Linked DNA regions of Drosophila melanogaster. The protein of the gene in region 1 interacts with the protein of each later gene in a biochemical or structural test. Each region holds a gene or a part of one and is shown on either strand. Other genes may lie near its edges.

The links.
Region 2: the proteins of Sema1a (region 1) and otk form a complex in vitro, tested with the Drosophila melanogaster proteins (one study listed by BioGRID).

The regions. Positions count from the first base shown.
Region 1 is NT_033779.5:8,538,803-8,546,887, reverse strand, and holds the start of Sema1a (semaphorin 1a), read right to left. Parts: upstream 4,742-8,085; 5' UTR 4,676-4,741; intron 3,676-4,675; exon of another isoform or gene 3,173-3,675; intron 2,345-3,172; 5' UTR 1,655-2,344; intron 1-1,654. Other genes in the region: CG17834 (uncharacterized protein), read right to left, coding at 5,652-6,430. UniProt on the Drosophila melanogaster protein: Involved in growth cone guidance through its role in axonal repulsion. Function in neurons is essential for adult survival, motor neuron survival, and is important for climbing behavior and activity.
Region 2 is NT_033778.4:12,015,521-12,023,556, forward strand, and holds the start of otk (off-track), read right to left. Parts: upstream 4,327-8,036; 5' UTR 3,410-4,326; coding exon 3,358-3,409; intron 376-3,357; exon of another isoform or gene 1-375. Other genes in the region: otk2 (off-track2), read right to left, coding at 7,908-8,036. UniProt on the Drosophila melanogaster protein: Acts as a calcium-dependent, homophilic cell adhesion molecule that regulates neural recognition during the development of the nervous system. Component of the repulsive Plexin signaling response to regulate motor axon guidance at the embryonic stage.

The DNA.
Region 1 (8,085 bases):
TGGCTCTTTCTTTCTACACATATGTGTATCTTGAACGCGTTTCGTTGTATCTACTTAAGGCAGCTTAAATATTTGTGTAACATAATACAAAACATACGGGCTTCTTTGGTTATACTTAGATACATAGATTAGATACTTGGCTAGGAGAATGTGAAATGGGCCGCAGAGTGGCAAAGGAGGTTGAAAGCCAGAAGTCCACAGTCATCTAAACCACAGTCTAAGCTCACCCGTCTTTGCACAATGGGAAGCAAATATAGTTTATTAATAAAAAAGATAATTGATTAAAATTTAATAAGAGAAATTCAGAGAATTTGAAGAAGATCATCAATTGTATTTCAATTCTTATCAGATACATTTATGTCGTTTACCATGAGAGGGGGAATCAAATTACCATAAGAACTTGGAATAACATTTCAAGAAATGACCATTTACAAAAATGAAAGATTCAGGGGAAATACAACATCCCATTAGGCTAATCTCAGCGGATTAACGTAGATGGCTCTCTGTTAAATTCCTAAATATGCAAGCGATTAAAAGATTAAAGCTATCAAAAGCGATGACGAAGACCATTTCTCGAATCGAAAATGTATCACAAAACGAGAGTAAAAAAGAGGCAATCACAGATAGGAAAAGAAACAGATTACAGCTGTGAAATCGGTTAAGTAATGCAGACATAAATGCGGGTGAAGCAGAACTAAATCAGATTCCCGAGTGGAATATTCAATTTTTTCAGCTTGCGTGTCAATGAGTAGGCGCTTAAGGGATTGAGCACATAAAAAATACTTCATATGAAGTGTACCAGTTTAAATTTATCAAAACAAATAAAAAGATCTGATAACCAATTTAAAAACCCCTCTTTTGGGTATTAAAATAAATAAAGTTTTAGTTATTCAAATGCAACCTAAGAACTTGGCAAAGAAATTGTTCAAACTGGCATCTTTATGTTTTTACTTAATAGCTACCACATTTTTATCAACATTTCCAAATCACTTGTTGTCGGTGTCCCTTTTCTGTGGTTCCCACTGTAGCCGTATCTTAAGTGTTTGGTTCGCCTTTGTTTTCCCGACCGTCCAATCATCTGCTCCACTGTGCCGGGGTATCAGCGTGCTTTGTTTACATTTCAAATGGAAATCGCTCCGTTTTGTATCTCTGTCTGAGCTCCGATATCTCCTGCTGTGTGTCCGAGGGTATATTCCGTATCTGTCTGCAAAAGTGCATTTCAACCATTTTCGGTTTGTCCTAATGAGTCTCGTCCAATGCCCACACCCTTCGCACTCAAGCAGTCGTGTGTGTGGCGTACGCAAATATCGAGAACGACTTTTGCTGACCCTACCAAGGTATGTCCTTCCTTATCCTAGAACGTGGCCAAAGGACAATACGTGCGCTAAATATAGATATTTCCCGGCACGACCGATGTGCATCCACTTAACCCTTGAAAAAAAACAACAATTTTGGGAGCTGAAGGCAACAAGACCCAGTGTTAATGCATTTTCGAACATCCCAATGTATCTGGCATAAAATACGTTCTGATTTTCCAGAAAATTAACTCCACCATTTCCTGCGATTAATCTTAATCCAAATGACTATGTTTATAAAAATGCGACACTTGGATTGCTCTTACTATATTTAATAAGATATTTATTTCTAAACGTACCTTTCCAAAAACTGTCCAGCAAAATGAATTGTTCAAAAGTTGAAACTCCGTAGACGTTGGAATCCAAAATATTCTGAAGATTACGCAATTGATTAGTCCCAGCGAGTCCTGTTTATCGTTTGTTTGCTGACATTGATCGATTGATTGGGCTGTTGTTGTTGTTGTGGTTGTTCTGATAGCTCGATTATCGATTCGCACACACAGACTGGTGAATTGGAATTTTTTGATTCGCACCGATCGCTTGTCGTACTTAAACAAATTATAGACACTTACACGAGACAACACCGAAGAACACAAATTTGTTATATTTACTTTATACGCAGATTAATGCCAGCGGACGACGATGAATAATAGGATAACAGCAAGAACAACAACAACGATGCACGACGACGACGACGACAAATATTGTACATATGTACAGAGGATACAAGGACTCACGCACACAGATGCAGACGCAGATGCACGGGCGCGATAACGGTTATATCGGATATATGAATAGACGAAACGACGAACGGGGGGGCGGGGCGGTGCGGTGCAGGAGTCGAATTAACGCGACGGCGATTATCCCTTAACGGTACCGGTTCTTCATGCGATAAGTAGGCTACGGATGCGATTTCTGAGCATATTTTCTTGGTTTATTCTTTTTCTTTATTCAAATTTGCCTTATTCACTTTGTTTCTGGCTTAAATACTGTGGAAATGGGAGAAGGAAAACTGGATTAGATTTCAGTTTCCCAATCAAAAGTTATGGCCGCAGGAAGAGCTTATCTTGAACACAAATATCTGGCATGTAGGGCTTTTTGAATTAAAATTAATATTTGCTACGATATGAAACACGATTTGATGAAGAAATGATCAAGAAATATCAATTGAAACACTTTGTAATTCAACTTTTTTCCTGATAAATTTCTTATTATGACAACAGTACTTTAGTTTTCTTTTTTTGGTTGGCAACGCGCTGCGGAGAGATGCGAATGGGGGGCACAAGGCAGAGTCGAAAAACATTATGCGGGGGGTGCGTGAGTTTGAGGAAGAAGAATAAGAGAGTGCTGCTCTCTCCCACTCTTACTCTCACTCTCTCTGAGTCAATTTGAAACGCCGCGAGAATGAAATGCAGCGAAACGAATGGTGCACAAAACGTGGCCAGGAAAATAGAGAAATAAACAAAATATAAAAAGGATAATCCCAAAGAGAGAGGGAGGGTGGGTTAGCGAGAGCCAGGACCGTTTCATTCCCAAAACGTACCCAAAACAGAATACAAAAGCCTGGCTCTCCTTTCAACTCTCTCGCCCTCTTGCTCACACCCGCAGGATGGCGAAAAATCAATGAAAAATATGTGGAAAAATTGCCGAAATTGTATATTTTTGTGGATTCGCTCTGCTGCGGCCTAAACTTTGGGTGGAAACACAGTTTTCGTTATTTTCTTTTTCTAATGTGCCATAATATTCCAATTTTGTTGTGATTGCCAATTGCAATTGGGCAATTTTCGGCTTTATTATTGTTGCACACAAACACTCACACTAGCTCTCGATTGCACATGTTTCTAAATTGAGCAATTACCAATTTATTAATTAATGTACACAATGGACAAATCACTTTTCACAATTGCGCGACACAAAGGTAGCGGTGCTGGAATTTGTTTATCAACGCGAAAGAAACATTTATATCCTTGTCGAATATCCGGAAATTAACAAGAAAATATCTTGAAAAATAATATTTTACAAGAAACCAAATTTCGTTTTATGCAGCGTTTCTACCGGCGATTTATCCAATATTTTTGTTTATTTATTAATGCTGTTTTCAGATATTTTCCAACCGGAGCAACAACGCGCTGCAGCAGCGCGGGCGTTAAATTTTCGAATGAAAAGGGAACTCGCACGAAAGAGAGTTCAGTCTCAAATGGCACTTTCTCTGGCGCTAGGGCATTTTCCGCGCGTTAGTGCGTTTTCCAGCGCTGACTGCGAAGTCGCGAACGGTCACTTTTTCGGTTCTCTTTTTCTCTCTCCTCTCTTCTCTTAACAGCTGGTCAACAAACAATATGCAAATTAAAAAAAAAAACAATAAGGATAATTATTTTATTGACCTAAATATTAAACTAAGAGCGTGCTACTAAAAATTTATATAAAAATTGCAGGCCATAACACCATGTTATTTATATTACCGAATTTTATTGGAAAAAATGTTGTCTATGGCAAATTGAAAACATTAAAAAATATTAATAAATTTTTATCTAAAATTACTCAAACGATAAAATGCTTGAGCTCTTTTATTTGTTCACGCAAAATTGGAAAACACATACACGGTTAAGTTTCTTATTTCATAAACATATTAGTTTCTTGTGTCCTTTAGAAGGAACACGCTTAAAGAGAAATTTTAAAATGAGAGGCTCTCTTCAATAAGCCCTCTCCTCTCACTATTTCCTTTTCGTTGACTGAAACTCCCCCTCAATATAATCGGCCGCTTTAAACTCTTATTCTCCCTCGCGATACTTAAAATAATTAATTTAGTTATTCAAAAAAAATCAAGAATATTTTGAAAATTATGGAAAATACATAGTTTCAATTCAAATAGAAAATAGAAATAATGTTTGAAATTTCCGTCGTTCCGCTCTCAGTGGGCGCGGGTGAGACTGCGCCTGTCAAGGGCGTTTGTGTACGAATTTTGAATATCAACAATCTGAGGGCACGTGTAGAAAAAAATTTTTAAAAATTATATATTAGGAGAACACTTCTATAATCAGAAACCATATTTAGTCACCAAAAATAGTTCTTCTCGAATAATAAATACGTTTGGTACCTGGTACCTAATTGAAACCTGGCAGCTCTACACTCTTTTCCTATTAGGTTCTCTCTTAAAACGCGCTCTCTGTTTTGCCGGCCGTTTATATGTATTGCTTTATTTATAATTTACAATTTAACCAATTCACTTGGACACGCTTCTTATTCATATTTGTTTAATTCACAACTTAATAAATTATTAGGGCACTCTACGAAATATATTGTTTATGTTTTTATATGAGCACCTTGCAAATAAAACAACTAGAATGTTTTGTTGTACAAACAACACACACGCCAATACGAATGAAAACTGGTCGACTAGCGTTGCCATTGGGAATTTCTACAGCCAGTGCTACCATATTGGGTGGTAAGCTAAATGGGTCCGGCTTACAGTTACCCCTTAACAAAACTTATATACCCGTTGAAATGTGTTTCATTATATATCACTTCCAGGATGACCTAATTAAATATACATGTTTGACGTTTTTTTAAGCTATATGGTGCAATTTTTTATTTTAATTTGTTGGTCTGAAACATGTATTGCATTACTTAAATTTTGAAATTAAAAAATTAAAAAATTAAATTAATAAATTAAAACAATCAACAAAAAGTAATTTTTACATCTCTCCCCGACGGGGAATTGAACCCCGGTCTCCCGCGTGACAGGCGGGGATACTAACCACTATACTATCGAGGATGTTGTCTACCCACTGTCAAACAACCGTCTCGAGCTTGCACACTGTCTTCAGAGTACAAATGGGGAACAGATGAAATTGAAACAAGCATTCACACTCCGCAAACGGAAAACCCGAGTTTGACTCACTTTGTATAACATCCTCGATAGTATAGTGGTTAGTATCCCCGCCTGTCACGCGGGAGACCGGGGTTCAATTCCCCGTCGGGGAGATAAGTGCATTTTTTTTCAAGCTCGCATTTATTTCTTTTAAAATGGTACAAATAGATATCGTTTAGATTTTTATAAAGATTTATTAAGTAGGATCTTTAATCGCTGTTTTTTGTGGTAAAATACAATTTATTTTGTAATATCAATCATTAATTCAAAATGAAGTACATCTGAATACTGAGGAATTGTTTGGACAAGGTCATTGCTTAGAAGATAATACAGAAAACGCATAAGCAGGTACTAAAGGCTAATAAATTTAAAACATTAAAAACATGGACAAAGTGATTAACAAATAAATATGTATATCTGCAGTGCGACTAGTCAACCTGCTTGCCCTCGTCGCGATTTCGTTTGAAGGACACGGAATGAATAAGTAAGGGCGGTAGATTGCCACGCAGCATCTGGAGTCGTTTGCTCTTCTCCTTCTCTGGCCGTCGCAGTTCGTCCTTGGAGGACCCGGGCGAGGCAGAGGACGAGGCCATCGATGGCGACATGGAGGCCAGTGAACTGGCGCCGGGCAGCACCTCAGAGCTCTGGGTCAATAGCATGGCAGATCGACGGAAGTAGCGCGGCATGGAGTAATCATCCTGTGTGGCCCGAGCAGCATTCGCCGTTTGAATGGAATAGAGACTCTGCGATACCCGGTACTTCTCAATAGTGGGCGTGTCCTCGTAGTTCTTAGGCAGATTACTGAACGATATCGATGGCACCTCCGGCGTCATGCTGATCTGACTGCTTCCGGTCATCGTACCGCTAATGGAGAATATATCCGTCTCACTGGCCGACGAACGGACATTCATGTGCGGAACGCTCTTGGCGGATCGCAGGATCCGTTTGGGCGTGGTCGTCAGTCCACTGGGGTTGGCCAGCAGATGAGGATGCCGGTCGATGAGGCGAGGTCGCAGCACCACCTCCTCCATGATCTCCTCCTCCTCATCGGCCTTGTCGTCCTCCTTCTCCTCCTCGGCAATGGCCTCGAACTTTTTGGGAGTAAGTGTCGTTTGGCTACCCGACGGCGAGCATTCGGCCGAACTGGGAGCCAGGGTGAAGGTGATTCGCTTCTCGGTCGATCCTGTTCTCGCATCAGTGGCATCTCCTGCAAAAAGAAGATATACTCCGTTTAAAAAGTGTTCTGCATTTGCAAGTAACTAAACCCATATTATTTAGAGATATTGTCCTGATTTCATTGTACCCTAATTAGCCAGCTGCCAGAGAGGACAATATTATCTTTGGAAGAGTTGGAAAAGTAGATGCCATTGTAAGACGCATAAAAGGTTGGCAAACAAGATAACGGTTGAGTTCATGGCAGATAGGAAAGATATGTGCAGATAATAACTAGCCCTCGACTTTGGCTAAAATGGAAATTTTAGAGGCGGAACTTACTAGTTAAGTTTTATAGTAAATTTAATAGATTATTAGTCTTGCCTTCTTTTGACTTAATATTTCTGTACTCTTAAGATTTATAAATTTAATTTCATTTGACAACAAATACCCAAGCAATTGGGTAAGATGCATTTAAGCATCAAATGAGTCGTACCTTATCAGTATTATTTTTTATAGTATTCATTCTGATTCAGTCAATATTTTAGTATATAATTGCAATAAAATTTTGTTTCTTTATTTGGATAACAACATTGCGCTTTCAAGGCAAGTCATTTTCAAATATGTACATACTTAGTAAAGTCGCTTTGATAGTTTATTTGTGAAATGAAACTTAAAAGTAGGATAAAATTTAGCTGCAGTTAAAGATTATACTAATTCTGTTATGTAAAAATATGTATAGATACTTATGAAATCATTTAATTTACTGCCTAATAATTCTTAATCGGTAACTACTTAGATTTTGTTTTGAGAAAGCAAAATGTGTTAAACAATACAATATGACGTATGATTTAAGTATCGTCAAGACCCCCGACAATAAACGTCAGCTTTATAAGGTATAAGGTATAGGGTTCTGACGAAATAATATGATGTAGATGTGGAAATACTTAAAACAAAACAGCTATAAACTGTATAGGAGCCATTGACTGGCGAATCGGAAAAGTCATCCGACATTAGCAAGAGAACGTGATGACTACGTGAATGTAATTAAGATATCTCATACACACGTATGTATAACAATATAATTTACAAGTATAAATAAAAATGAAAATAGTACCGTGCATAAAACTTAATTGACAACTGAAACTGGGCTATTTATTGTTTACTGATCGCTGTTATTGTTTCGTTTTATTTCGAAATGAAACCTGAGATTATTCGAACATACAATCAATTAAACGCGATTTGTTAAATATCGATACATACAACACCTGCTGTTTAAATATTTTTAATTGAAAAGATCAATATATAATTGTATATTTAACATGCATAATATGAAGACGGAATTTATTTTCTATAGATATACTGATGTATTGATTATTTTTCAATTAACCTAAAACAAGTGAAGATGATATCTATATGTTATCATTTTTGCTTGGAGTTTTTAAATGTGTTCTATAGAATGAAATGACAGCTCTAAAGTTCTACAAATTTGACGATTTCTTTATTTTTATCAGCTAAGGAGGAATCGATTGTTAGCATGCAAAAACTGATTACCAGCTCGAGTTTCTTATCTATAAAAAAAATTACCTATACGTGTATTTTTGACAAAATACATAAATGGGCAGAAATATTCATATTGCATGGGTGTTTATTTGCTGTTAACACTCTTTTATATGGTCTCGATAAGAAAATCGAATATTTGACTAATTA
Region 2 (8,036 bases), on another chromosome or scaffold:
CCCTGCCCTGCTCGACTCGATCCTCCCCTGAATCGATTTAATTTGCCGTGCGGAAAACGAGTTCGAGTTCCAGTCAAGTCGAGTCGAGTTGAGTCGATTCGATACGAGACGAGGGAACAATGTCAGTTACTGGGCGTCGATTAAAGAAATATGCGTCCCGCTCCGCAGTCCGTTGATTGCGCTGATGTGGGCACAAAAATGCGTGAGAGGGTGCGGAAAGCGACGAGGAGTGGGGCAGGAGGTGGAGCTCTGTGGAGGAGCACTGATGCCGCAGAAGCCGAGCAGCAAACTGAAAAAGTGTTGATGCTGCAAACATCAGCGACAGAGCCACGGAGCAGCGGGCAGTCCCGGTTCCAACTGCCCATCTCGATCTGTCTGTGGACATACACTGGCGAAAAAGAAGGGTAGCCAAGTGGGAATTTTTGATTTTCTAAATTTAAAAACAATACAAACGAATTTTCAACACTGTGTCTTTCAATTGATTTATTAAACTAAGTAATGTTTATTTATAACTTTTGGTAAGCAGTTTCGCAAATTATGAGCATGTAATGAGATATGACAGAGTTTATGATAGGAATTGGTAGATGTTTTTATCTTTTTTTATCTTTTGACATTATAGGTATAACAATCTTCTCTATAACAACCGTTTCACAAGTAATACGTTTGTGATTTATATACTTTAAGGTGTGTACTTGGAACTCTAAAGATTCTTTTTTTAAACCCAAAGAAATCTTTCTCAGTGCATCGTTCCATTCTTCCACTTACCCTCGTCGCGGGTGTGTGTGCGTGTGTGATAATTAGTTCGTTTGTTTGGCTCGAATAACCGAAATCAGCAAGTCAGCAGCAGGCAGTATTACGAGTGCCCACTGCTGTGGCCTCATGCTCATCAGCATCTTTGAGATTCAGATTCAGATTCTGATGCAGATGCGGATACAGATCCAACTTCGACTGCCACAAATGGTGCGGCAACATTCGTCGATTAAGCACAATGAATGCGAAATATTGTAGTAATAATCAGGCAACCCACTGTGGCAGCCACTTGAACTTGCCCCATGGGTGGCGTTTTGATTTGATTTTGTGTGCGTGTGTCTGTGTGCGGGGGGTGGCAATGGGAATGGGGAATGGGGGGCTAGAACTGAACTGTCACTGTGGAATGCGAGGCATTTGTCTGGGAAAAGCGGTGCTGGAAAACTGCAAGTCAACAGACAGACAGGCACTGAATGAAAAGTGGAATTGTGTCTGACAATTACGCGTCAAACGTTTGATCTAGGGTTTTTTCAGGGGTAAAAATGGCCAGAAAAAGGACTGGATGGTCTTTGATAGAGTTGGAATTCAATTTAAAGGTTACAGCATGGCTAATAAACAGTCATCAGGGCTTTATTCAGGGATTTTCCCTTCAACTACAATCGAGCTTCTCGGGATCATTTCCTTTGTGTTTCAAACAAAATTGATTTAACAACATGAAAATGGGAATCGTACTGCCTGCCAAGCATTATTTATGAAAAGTTATTATGTAGTCTCTTACTTCTTATGTGTAAAATAAATACCATTTTGGATATGATTTCTTTGAACGCTACTTTGTAGGAAATAACTAGCTTACAAAATTATGGTTTTATGTCTATTACATATAGGTAAAATACCCTTATCCAGCCAATCCAGTGTAGTAGAAAACCTCAAGGATGCTGTATTCAATTCAAAGTATTTCAAACGGAGACCAGTTGTTCATAGAACACAGCCTAATAAATTGGATTCATTATAAGGCAGCATTAAATCCTGAAATTCCCTTTATACCCCGGCTTTCTAAGCAAATGCATGACTAGTTCATACAATTTTCGAGAGAGAACCCTCTGGAGAACTTTCGACTGGCAGTCTTTAAGGTTGCCGAAGGATGCAGACAGGCGGAAGGACCAGGGGCGGGGGGTGTGGCAGTGGCAGTGGCAAAGGTTGGTGAAGGGGAGTTTTGTAGTTGCCACAGCTGCCCTTAATGTGGGATGTACGATGCTTTTGCTTTTGGCCTGGCATGTTGCATGCAGCATTTTGCATGCTTGAATAACAAATTATGACTGCCACACAAAAGGAACTCACACAAACAAGCACACACACACACACACACACTGACAGCCACATTATTTGCCATACAAATAATGGACCTCTGTAGTAGCGTTGCACAGATTTTGAAATATGCGAATCCAAATCCCCCTATCCTCGCTGTCTGCCGGCTGGCTTTTGTTAGCGGCTGTTTGCCTTTGTGCTACTTAACAGTCAGCAGTTTTCAGCTCTGTCCTGTCTCACACACACACACTCGAACGCACGCACACACATGCGTTGTTAAGGACCTTCGTTTGCATAATCGTGTCCCTCTTGAGACCCGAGATCCCCCTCCTTCGGGCACGATCCTTATCCCACTCGTAATCCCCGCTGTAAACTATATTTGATTAGCCGAAATTTCGGCGTCGCTTGTCTCACTTCAAGTGGGTATCGTGATCCTTGGCAGGATGGTCCTTATATTTCAAGTGTGTGTGTGTGCTAGCACTGGGAAAAAACATTCGGAAACATGCCTATATAGTGTTTCTAATTAGTGAATCTATTAAAACAGAACGGATCTAAAAGGTATAGAAATGAAATATTTATTAGTTTTATAACAATATTTTCTTATTCCGAGCGAGTATTTTAGCTGATCTGCCTATAAATTAACTACTTTATCTAAAGAAAAGTATTTAATGAGCAACATCTGTCATTGAAAAGGATAACCTGGCCACAAGGACCTCAATTGTTGCCTGTGTTAGTGAGCTCGTCACATTTTCGATGTTGATGTTTGCCCAAAATGACTTCATTTTGAACTGAGACCTGAGACTCATAATTTTCCAAACGGCTTCCTCTCCCGCTGCTTTCCTTCTCCTATTCCAAATTAGTAATGCCAGCTTGGTGGCTCCTGGCTGACTTTTAATTGAGTCATTTTGCACGCCGCTTGCCTTTCAAATTGAATAGCCAGAGACAAAGGCTCTCTGGGTTTTCGGTTTTTCTTCGCAAAACAAAATCGCCCTTGGAGAATAAGGAAATAGGAGTAGTTCTGTGTGGACGGCAGAGCCCTCGAGGTTAATAGAGTCCATATTATGGGTGGTCTCACCCAAGATGGAATGGCCAATATTCTGCGCAACACAAATGTTGTGATTCCTTTGAAGTTCCCAGCGATTCAGTTGCAAAGGCAATCGCCAAATGCCGACATCGAAATAAGCAAATAAATGGGAATTGAGAACCCCCTTAAGCAAATGAAATGAATTTGATTGCAAAGAACCCCCCGAGAATAAGGCAATCCCTCACTTAGTCCACAAAATCCAATCGTAGCAGACCACTTACCCATCATCAAAGCCATGACCAGGCCGCATATTGAGATCATCCTAGCAGTCATCTGCGTATATGTATAACCGCCGCACTTCGACACCTTTGGTCTCAATTAGCGACACAAAAAATATATAAGCACTCGCGTATTGGATCAGTATCGAAAACGAAGTTTTATGCTGCTGGCAATCCGATGAATACACTCGCACATCCACCAGATAGTCACTGTAAGTGCCGGCCACTCGAAAATGCACTCAACGCATTTGTAAATATTCAATATTTGGATGGCACAGACGTACGACGACGACGACGATGACGACGATGACAACGACTGCCCTTTTCAGGGGTTTACCGGGGTTTCAATGGGATCACTGGGCTCCACCGGGGATGGTGTTGTTGGTGGTGGTGACTGGAGTCCAGGGCGGTTTTTTGATGTTTACTGTGGACACTCAAATTAAATTGCTATTTACATAGTTGGAACGCATGAAATGCATTTATCACCGAGAACACACGAACTGATACGCCACTTGCTGTTTGTTGCTTTTTACTTTTATTTTCCGTTGACGGCTGGTTTATGTTTCGTGGCTGCGTTCGCGTTTGCTTTTTTATCAGCGACCAGATTGACAAGCGACGGATACGGATACCGACAAAGGTATCTAGATACACAAAATGCAACGAAATGCTCGAAGACCGAAGACCGAAGACCGCGCGGCAGAGGGCGCAAGGAGCCCAACTGTGGGGTTCAATTACCCAAGAGAACGCGAGCGCAACAAATCAACTTAATTTGTATCTTAAAGATACAAGAGCCCGGCTGCATCAGCTGCATCCTTGGCATCATCGCATCCCGAACCGGCTTTGGTGGGTGATTTTAGTTCGGGGCAAACTCGGCTAAACAAAACGTAGCGCAAAAGGAACTTGGATATCTCGAATCCAATCGAACCTCAAACTCAATCTGAACTGCACGCGTTCGAAGTCTGTTTATTACTGAACTCCGCCGGCTGTTCGAAGTTGTTGGTGGGAACCGGCTTTTGCTGCTCTCTCAGCGGAAAATACTGGGTTCAGTTAGCGCTCTCTCCGGTGGAATATACCTACTCGTGACCAGTATTTCTTGCATGCCCTGTATTTCTGCCAGTGCTGCCGAGCTGCAGCAGTCGTTTGTGGCGCGGCAAGTTTGAAGTGGAATTTTAAAGACTTAACTCACAAGTTTCATTTAATTTAAAATACACCAAAACCTAAAATTAATTTATATAATATATATAAATATATAATATTTATAAAGAGCAACCAACTTAAGATGATCATCGTGAGATGTGGTAAAAATGGTTTATTGTGATTAAAAAACTAAGAATTGTTTTATGAGTTTATATCAAACATGAGTATTTAATTTGCGATTATTCCCCCTAGCTGAACCCGACACTCTTCCTAATTTCATTTGATGAAATAAAGCTATCAGTTGTCTGCAATCAGATCAGAGAGTCACTATGCAAACCGCCCGCTGTCTCATCATCCAACCGTTTCCCCCTGTTTTTTTTTTTTTGAGTCCAAACAATAATGCGTCTTAATGACCAAAGCAAGAATCAGCTAAAATGGGGTGGCCGGTCGGCAGTGGGAGGAAATCCATTGGTGGCTTGCTGCTTTTACGAGCAGATATACGACGAAACTGCAAGATACTTCCACTACCAATTTTCCACACTCGAAGAAATAAAGAAAATTTTAAAATGTTCTATGAGAGAAAATGTTATCTAAGAGCAACGAAGGAAAATTTTGATAATACAGCAAAACCAATTTAAAAACAATGACATATAAATTTAAATCCAATTGAATCTTTTGATTGAAAGGTTCGGCTCTTAATCATATAATGTTTATAAAACTGTAGAAGTTTTCTATGAAATTGTTGGATAGGTAAAATGGTTGATTGGTATAAAATTATAGTTTCTAAACTTTTTAAACAAATTCTAATAGATCAAACCTATTGCTGTGCATCTAAGACAGTCCTTGGCTGCTACTGTGCGATTATGAGAACGGGCCTGCGTGAGTGTGTGTGTGGATTTCCATTTTATAGTTTTCCGCTTGATTTTTTTACGAGGCCTTTCAACCCCGCACAATGGAAAACCAAGCGAAGAGCCACAAAAACAATTGCAGCTGATCCTTTAGCCGGCGTTGACTGACACCCAAGAGTCGTAAACTGCCGTTGCCATTTGTATAAACTATATAACCGAGAGGGGTGGTGCCCACCCCATTTCCTCCTTCCCCCAAAAGTCCCAAACCCCGCCCCTGATTAACAGTCCGGGCCCTTTGTGATTATATCTGCGTGGAAATGCGTGTGTGCGGTTATCAAAGGCTGGCCATGGCGATGCCCAGAAGGGCGAAGGGACCGACCATCCAAAGTTGGGCCTCCAGTGCGCTTTTCCACCTCCCATTTCCCAGTGCTCGCGCTGACTCTTCGGACGAACGACAGTTATTGATGTCATAAAGTTGGAGATTTATGCCATCGCCTGGCTGGAATGTAGGGCTTATGTTTTATTATAGGCCTTGTTTTGAATTTGGTTCCTTTTCGCCTTCGCCTCCCTTGATTTTGGGGTGCAAAGCGATCGGGCGAACCGAAGCTGCAAATGGTGTGTTAATAATATTGTATTAACTTTTCATATTGCAAAGGGGTTGCCAAGGGGTAATATGTTAATTGGATAAGTCGCACGATGCCACAACTTCATTTATTTCAAAAATATGAGACCCTCTTTGCTAAATCAGTAGATAAATACATACATACAAAAAGTTTCAATTTGAAAAATTTTATTTTCGAAATCGCACTCTTTGTCGGAAGTCTTAAGTATATCCTTAGAAGATCGTTACAAATTTGATTGCTCTGTTCTTGGAAAGTTTTAAACGTTGCAACTTATTCCTGGCCAAACTAGAAAGAAATCTTTTCATCTTTTAGGGTCTTTCGACTATACCGCCATCCATATATGTTTAAGTTATTATTTCGAACTGCTTACCGTAACTCAACGCCTCGCAATCGTATAATTTTATGGAGCATCCCAAAAGTTGCAACGGATTCCGGCTAGAATCCAAATCGGAATGCCGCCCATAGCAAACATCAAACATTAGAAGGCATTAAAATAAATTTTAGTAACGCGGCCTTTGCGTAGACTAAACAAAATAAACATACGTACATATATTGTAGTACACAGCGTTTGAAGGTGTTTTTGGGCTGAGGCCCGCCCCGTGCGCACTTACTATAAACAAATAAGGCGAAAAAGTACCAAAAAAAAAGAAATAGAAAAAAAAGGGGGAAATCGAAGAAGAGGAAAAACATCAGCGGAAGGGCCCCCAACAACAAGTTTTTAATGCATGTCGATGTCGTCGTCGCCGCCGCAGATCAAAGGCAAATCGCCTATACATACATATGTACATATGTAGGTGCATGGTACATACATATAGAGAGGTTGGGGTGCTGCATAGGATACCATACCATGCCATACCATACCATACCACACCATACCAATCCATTTGATGGGCGGCTGGTGGAAATGCAGGCAGGGGTGGTCGTAGTCGCAGTCGTTTAATTGCACTTGCCGCTTACTTTTTTATCTGCTGCCTGGTGGCGGAGTAACCTGCGCATGTGTAGTTGCCTTTGGATAACGCCTTTGATGTGTGGTGTGCGCTGTTTATTCGAGCGCTATAAAAAGCCATAAAATATGCATAAAGCACACTGGCAATTGGAGATTGCCAGCATATGCCAATGGAAATGGACATGGAAATGAAGCGATTAAGTGCAGATGCCGGCAATTGAAGGGAAATTGTCGCTGGATATGCTTTAGATGGAAATTCCCTACAAGATGATGGGTATGGGTGACACTGCCTCAAAGGATGGCATATCATGGTGCAAGCTAGTCAAAGAATCCAAAACAAATTGTTAAGTAATTTGGCATTGGAAGGATACCTTTTTCCTATCACAAATATAAGATATACTATTCAACATGTTGATAAACTATAATTGCTATGAAGAAACTTTCATTGTTTTAATTAAACGAAAGAAGAAACGCTGGAATGTCGCGCTATTTTACGACTTTTTATCGGAGGGGGGAGGGAGGGTTGCCTTTATGTGCAGCAAACTTCTCCGTCTGTCATAAAAAGCGCATAAAAAGCCATGGCAGAACACTCATCCGGGTTCCATGGGCTTTACGGCCGTGCCAAGTGGGCTTCCAATTTACGATGGAGCAGCGGAGGAAGTTTACGAGCCCCGCACAACGCTTGTCCGCCGCAAAAAAAAGGAGATTGAAACGATTGCGCTATAAAATGGGGCTCTATGAGAGCCATAAAATATTTATTCTACTAAAAAATAACTGTACATGGGATATATACACAGAGACACACACATGCATAAATACATAAAATATTTATATATATATAAACTAGATAAATATATAAATACAAATAGATTTCTGGGGGATTTCACAAGTTCCTTTTTGATTCTCAACAACAGAACGGAGTAACTTTCGAGGGGCATGTTTAGCGAGATCATGGAAAGTGGCTGAAAGGTTACTCCACAGGCGCAGGAGCACTACTCCTCACACAATATCGTCGGCCACCTGCGACTCCTGCTCCAGTATCGTGCTCTCCCTCAGCTTGCTCTTCAGATTCTTGCTGGAGTTGGCCTCCGTCAGGCAGGGCTCGTTTTCGTGATGGTCGTGCTCCTG